Drosophila melanogaster: one gene and its partner. The protein of the gene in region 1 interacts with the protein of each later gene in a pairwise test. Each region holds a gene or a part of one and is shown on either strand. Other genes may lie near its edges.

The links. Proteins that work in one complex are often made in the same cells at the same time.
Region 2: the proteins of Or9a (region 1) and Fkbp12 interact in a two-hybrid assay, tested with the Drosophila melanogaster proteins (one large-scale study listed by BioGRID).

The regions. Positions count from the first base shown.
Region 1 is NC_004354.4:10,457,576-10,461,470, forward strand, and holds Or9a (odorant receptor 9a), read right to left. Parts: upstream 2,102-3,895; coding exon 1,765-2,101; intron 1,703-1,764; coding exon 1,437-1,702; intron 1,362-1,436; coding exon 840-1,361; intron 665-839; coding exon 611-664; downstream 1-610. Other genes in the region: Neb-cGP, read left to right, coding at 3,347-3,421, 3,507-3,578. UniProt on the Drosophila melanogaster protein: Odorant receptor which mediates acceptance or avoidance behavior, depending on its substrates. The odorant receptor repertoire encodes a large collection of odor stimuli that vary widely in identity, intensity, and duration.
Region 2 is NT_033778.4:19,288,341-19,291,585, reverse strand, and holds Fkbp12 (FK506-binding protein 12kD), read right to left. Parts: upstream 1,478-3,245; 5' UTR 1,398-1,477; coding exon 1,361-1,397; intron 1,201-1,360; coding exon 1,130-1,200; intron 1,069-1,129; coding exon 850-1,068; 3' UTR 624-849; downstream 1-623. Other genes in the region: mip40 (Myb-interacting protein 40), read left to right, coding at 1-292; AANATL4 (arylalkylamine N-acetyltransferase-like 4), read right to left, coding at 1,786-2,460; AANATL6 (arylalkylamine N-acetyltransferase-like 6), read right to left, coding at 2,935-3,245. UniProt on the Drosophila melanogaster protein: PPIases accelerate the folding of proteins. It catalyzes the cis-trans isomerization of proline imidic peptide bonds in oligopeptides.

The sequences.
Region 1 (3,895 bases):
GAAAAAACACACGCCTCGCATCTGAACTTTGCTTATTTTCCTTTGAGGTAGGAAAAACAGCTCAAGTTTAAAAAAGAAGTCTCGTCATGATGGGTGGCAATGGGTGGCAGTGAATGGCAGTGACGTCTGGCCTTCACATTTGTCCCAACTCATTCCCAGCACCCCAATGTTGGGTATTTTGCCTGGCTCGTTATAAAAATAAAACACAAATTAATCCAACAAGCTCGTCGCAGCTGGAGATTCAAAGATGGGAATACACAATTGTTGAATGAAATTGAAAGTGAATTTGTCGGTCTGATTGTCGATAATCTGAAAACTTTGTAGTTAAGTATTTACCTCGAAATTTATCTGGAAACTTAGTGCACTTAGCCACATTTTTGTATAATTAAATAAAACAAAAACATTTTTCTAATTGGTTTATGGGTTTAATATAAATATTTAACCGTGCCATATATATCTTTTATAAATATATATAAATGTATATTGTTGATGAACAATGCTTGTTCTTAGAACGTTTAGAACGATTTCAGCTGTGTTTGTCTTAAACTGCCTTGTCACCTGGCACACCTGCTTAAAATGCAGCCTCCTTTGACACATTTTGATGTCCTTTTTAGGCATTAAAGGAGCGCAACATCATGATGTACGACACGGCAGAGCGAACAATCTGCAATGGATAATATCAGGCAGACTTTAATATTTAATTAATAAATTTGCAAGTATTATGTCTCCAAAATCTAAATCTACATATTGGCAGATTAAAAATGAAAAGAAGTACTAGTTTTTTGAATTGTTTCTCCAGGTGTATTTCTGCGGCACGTGGCATGTTTACGGAAACTCACCGTCGAGAAGGTGGCCATGCTGGCCTCGAAAAAGTAGCCCTTCATCTGGCAAGGTCGCTGGGCGCGCATGGCGGCAATGAGGAGGGCTCTTTTAGTGGGTGGCGAGAAGTCGGTCCAGTTGGTCTCGTACAGCCCGTTTCCGAAATCCAGGCTGGCACTCTTGATATTTTCGCCGCACTTCGAGTAGATGAACAGTGCGATGAGCAGCGAGCCCACAAAGGCGATAAAGTAGAGACTCTGCGGATTGGGAAACAGATCAGCCACCTGGAATCCAATGAAGCAGATCTGCAAGGCGGACAGAAAGAACTGCAAAAAGATCAGCGGCCGGTACTTGTCCGCAATGTGATCGGCGATCTGGAGGCCCTTCTGGTGCAGCAGCAGCACCTGGACGAGCCCCTCCAGCTCCTCCTTTCCGCCCACCGCCGGCAGATGGATCATCCGGTGCTTGGCGATCTTGAAAATGGCGCACACGTTGTAGGTGAAAAAGAAGAGCAGCGAGTCCACGCAGAGTGCCATGGTTACCTTAAATTCGAAAAATTACAATGGTAATAAGCACCTTTTTTTTTGGTTTTTTTTTATGTATGTTAGGAAACTTACAGCACTATAGCTGGCCATCACATTCCACAGATAGGTGGGCACATAAAACATGACCACCTGGAGATCGTACGGGTAAACGCCGTTGTGGGGCAGCTCCAGGTGAATCTCGTCGCCGCGAATCGAGGAGAGTATGATGCCCACAAAGGGCTTCAGGGCCGCAAAGATTCCAGCCAGTCCAAAACAGCGAGTGTACGTAAGACTGAGCATTTGGTCACTTTGGTTCTCCACCTCGATGATTTCCCGCGCATCAGGCCACACTTCGATTTCTGCAAATTATAAAATATATTTTTATGTTATATAAATTTTTTTTTAATTAGTAGAAACTTACCTTTAGCCAGAATGGCCCTGATGTGGTAGATCAGGCCGACGAACTCCTTGCGATGATAGCAGAAGAGCAGGAATTTGACCAGGGTGAGCATGCTGGCGAAGGTGGAGCCCAGGGTGTCGGAGAGCAGGCTCACCTGGGTGATGTACTCGTGGGCGGCCAGGAACATGGGCACCATAAACAGGAAAAGTGGTCCCATTGTGACAAAGGTCAGCCACGGGCGGTCATTCGCCATCGTGGGGCTCCACAAATCGATGCCCATGCAGCGATAAACGAGAATTTGCACCCGCAAGGATTGATCCTTTTCCTCCTGCTTTTTTCCCTTCACCTTGTCGCTCATCTTTAACTGGCGGACTGTACAGTCGTTGGGTTCTTATACTTTCCACAGAGGGGGCGTGGAAGTTAATGTCATGTCAAAAATGCAGTCAAGCTCAGAACATAAAGAATAATAATTGTTTAATTCCTTACTTATCTTTGGATACTCTGGCAATCTTTTTTTAGAATTTTTTTAGAATATTTCAATGTAATGGGCGTTTTTTTGATTAGGTACAAGCAAAGTAGAACTTTTTATTATTTAAAATATTGTCTTAATACCAACAAGTTCAACTTGTCATAGAATCGAGTTTAGTATGGTCGGACTGTATATATATATATATTTTTTTTTTTTGATTTTTCACTAATTGTTGAGTCGGAGGATTTGGCACTACTTTCATTTAATATGCTTCCTTTGTGCATTGGTTTGCGGGTTAAATGGGTGTGGACCTGGGTGGACTTGAAGTGCATTTATGGCTCTAATTACACGATTTTTTCTGCCTTTCGCCGCATTCTATTTAATGCCGGCCCTTTCACTCGCTTGTCCTGACAATCAAATGGCAGCCTTTAGTTCCCAGGAAGTGCATTATAATTTTAATGAGTCTGTGCAGATTTGAGCGACACGAGCAATAGTTGTGGCGCGTCTATTTTTGGCTCCTTAATTAGATTCGCAATTCGTAATGCTGTCGTTGACTTTTGATAAGGACTCGACAATTTGCCGTCCGATGGCTTGTGGACCAAAGTAAAGTTTGTTTTGCCGTCCAGGATTAAGTCTATTTAGTTTATAATATTAAAGTATATTTTTGGTATTATATGTTATGTGAATATATTGTTACAAGTTATGATATGGAAATAAATATAAATTTTAGTTACTGTATGATTTAGGAAATATATATATATTGTTTATTTAATATTTATTAATATTATTCAATATTTCAAATTGTCCCGCCAAATTGTGTTCATTAGTGTTGACTAACACACCGACAATGATGGTCAGCTGAAATTTATTTGCAGCCAGTTGGCAGGTCAGGCACTTTCAACACTGTTCGCCCAGCTCGATAGTATCGATGAGCAACGACTGGCATACCCTTCTGTTATCGAAGACCGATAGACCTCGATAGACTCAGTTGTATAACCTCTGCTCGCAAATATTTTTTACAGGCAACTAGCAGCTCGAATTCCGTGCAAATAAACCTTTAAGTGAGTAGCCCAAGTTACCGCTTCAGCCATTCACTAAGTTCCACTTGAAACGCATCACCTTCAATTCACAGAAATGGCTGGCGAAGGCGAGAAACTGACCGGCCTGTCGAAAATCTTCAATGGCACCACCATGAGCGGCCGTGCAAATGTGAGTAGATGAAATTCCAGAACGTCGTGCCCGTGGTAATGCTAATCCGATTGTTATGCCATCCATTTATCCCGTCCTTGTCCAGGTGGCCAAGGCCACGTACGCCGTGATGGGCCTGCTGATCGCCTACCAGGTGCTGAAGCCCAAGAAGAAGTAGAGGGATGCAACTGCTCCAACGCGGCTACAACTCATCCGCCACAATCGATGTCTTGGATCCGGGGCCATCGCTGGACTGCGGATCAGTTTATTTTATGTGTAGTGCAAGACCTTGAAGGAATAAATAAGCTGAGAATGTAACACACTGTACCCACGAAGTGCATTATGTAACGATCCTGCGACTGCCACATGATTTGTGGGCATCACTGCGGTGGATACCCTAACCACACCGATCTATGGGCTGCAAGGTACTCACGGCAATGCATACGCAACCGGGCTAAAAGTAATAATAAGTGGTTCTAGAAGAGAGAGAGATTA
Region 2 (3,245 bases), on another chromosome or scaffold:
CAACGGCGAAGAAATCCTGTCCCAAATTAAAAGCGGCGAGATAAAGGTGATCAACCAGCTCCCGCAGGCCAAGTCCACGGATCTGCCCATAATTCCGCCTCGTCTGGAGTTCAGCCAGGAGGACAAGAAGCGGGAAAAGGCTCTCCAAGGTGCCAGTACCTCCGATCTTCTGTCCTCCAATATGAACCGCTGGAAGAAAGTGCGCGGACACTGGATAAAGCATATCAAGAAGTATGAAAAGGAGCGATATGAAGTTATTGACAAGATTATGAGCTTGGTCTGCAAAAACTGAAGCGTATCTAGGTGATTTTGGAAGTGGTATAGAAAATGAAAAATAATTTGGATTAATTGTGCACAAAGAATTAAAAAAAATCCTGTTTCCAAATCGAATATATATGCAAATAAGATGCTTGTACACTTTATATACTTATATAAAATAAAATCAAATTTGTCAAGTAGACCACTTCAAGTCTATCAAGAGAATGATAAAGCGTTTTTATATTTGCATATTTTCCTGATTAAAAAATAATATGAAATGCATTTGTATTGCAGCACGGAAAGGCAACCGCAGCTGATTTGATTGGATTATCCCAAGATTTTTGATAAGAAAGACATTTGTCATTGACTTGAATAAATGTTTATTTGTATTGGTAGAAGATGCGTTCCCTTTGCGGTTAAATTAGTTCTAGTTTAGAGCTGTGTATGAAGTTATCATTATTATTTTGGGTTGGCAAATGCTGCTGGATTGTTCTGGTTCCGATTATGATGTTCTTCGGCTCGTCGCCGGTGCGCCGGTCCGCAACCCCCTGCGATTTGGTTTGGGGTATACACATTGGGCATCCTGTGCGCCTATTCGACCTTGAGCAGCTCGACGTCGAAGGTGAGGGTGGAGTTGGGCGGAATGACGCCGGGGTGGCCACGGCTACCGTAGGCATAGTCCGGCGAGCAAATCAGCTTGGCGCGCTGGCCGACGCTCAACTGGGCAACTCCCTCATCCCAGCCACGGATGACCTCGCCCTTGCCGATGGTGAACTTGAATGGCTTGTTGCGGTCGCGCGACGAATCGAACTGCGTGGAATTCAAGGCGGATCATTAGCTGGGGATGGCGAGGATCGGGATTCGTACTCACCTTGGTGCCATCGTCCAGGGTGCCGGTGTAGTGGACCGTGACCTTTTGGCCATTCTTGGGATAGGTGCTGCCTGCGGGCGGGGAATGCAAAAATGGATGTGTGTGAGCGGGACGACCATATTGTCGCAGGTATTTCCGAATTGTGCATTGCGAAAATGCACTAAATAGGTTAGAAAGGCCGGTAGTTTACGGCATTTCTTGCGGATTCTAACCCAATCATTGGATACTCACCATCACCAGGAGCAATTGGAACTACTTGTACGCCCATTTCGATTAGTTTTTTTCTGGCAAATTACCGAGCGGAAAATAAGCACGTTGATTTCAGTTCGTCGCGTCGCCGAATGACAGCTAGCGGTGGGCGATGGTCGGTGAGCGGAAACTATCGCACACATCAATTTGATTAATTATCAAAACCAATTGCTTTCCGAGTTATCGATAAGGACGTTTTTGTATTTTGGCGCGTCCGTTTGAATTGTTTACTATGAACCGAAAGAATAAAGCAGTGCAAGATCTTGCCTCTTATCTTAAAGTCCGAGACACATTGGTCATTGGTCAACTTGTATAGGTCCCCCAAAAGTGTGCTAAGTATTAAATAAACATAACTATAGTTATATAATTTATTTAAATTCCTCGACTCAGTTATTTGTTATCAACTGTCACAGTTTGATTGCCATCACTCGCAGCTTTGTGTGTGGGGCTGCCGGTGTGAAGATCACTCGTCCTTCATCGTCCTTATAGTCGGCGTAGTCGATGGAATAGATGCACTCCATGCCCAAGGCCCCCTTCTGGCGAGCGGAGTAGAAGCTAGTGCAGAAGGCCATCATAAGGGGGAAACCATTCGATCGGCCCAGCTCCATCAGGGTGGCGGCCAGGCGGGAGCCCAGGCCCTTGCCCCTCTTCCACGAGGCCACGCTGGTCACGTGGGAGTAGAGCGCCTTCGGGATGTCGTAGCGCTCAAACAGATTGACTTCGCGCTTGGCCTTCATTAGTAAATGATACATTCGACCCCAAGCGTTATCCTCCACATTCTCGAGCTTCAAATTCAATGTTCCTGCATTCACATTATCGGGATAACTGGCACATGCCAGAACTAGACCCACAATCCGGCCACCATCGTTTTCATCCAGTGCCAAAAGGCTGGTGCCCTCGGCGATTATCGACTGGTTGAAGGCGTCGTTGATCTCCTCGTTCTGCTGGTGAACGGGTTCGCCGCTGGACTGGCACAGAGGCTCCGATGTGTAGTACTCAGCCTCCATATAGGCTTTTACCTGTGCATAATCCTCTGGGCGCATGATGCGTATCGTGACGCCATCTATTGTCGTGGGAGTCATCGCGATCCGGAGCTAATTCGTTCTATATGCTTTTCTTAAGACAGAAGAGGACGCCGATGTGTACATGGCTTTTATACTTCGGCGCTTATCACTGATAATGGCTTATCATATTTATAGATTGTTTCTGTTTGGCGAAGAGAAAGTTGTTTCCAACGGCTTTTGGTTTTATTTTTAATGAAGTGCCAGACTGACTTATCCTTTTAGTAATAAACATTTTTCGAATATGGTTTTCTGACCCAAAATCTTTGAGGATAAATACATCGAGTGGAAAGTGATTACTTAATATCAGATTTTGTAATTATTGCAAGGTCATGTGTCGATAAATACATAATCAACACAATATCTGAACAATAAAGTAGACCGTTCTACATTTTATTACTTTATTTGATCCATATGGACTTGCGTTTCCAGCTCGACGACCTTTATCAATTGCCAAGGCCAAAGTAATAATTAATTAATAAATTATTTTAATTTTTACATTTTTGAGGCCAAGACCCGAATGTGGGTATGGGGCGCTGGTGGATTATATATCGGCCGACCCAACTCGTCCTTGTAGTCAGCATAGGCCACCGAATGGATGCACTCACATCCCGCTTTCATCGCCGACCGGGAGGAGTAGTGATTGGTTCCGCTGGTGATGAACAGAGTGTGTCCCCGCAGGCGACCCAATTTAAAGAGACATTTGGAAAGTATGACCAAGATACCTCTTTGCCTCATTGAGGGGTGAACGGAGATGACCAGCAGACTCAGGTAGGAGGAGACTCCGAAGCGTTCGAAAATGTTGG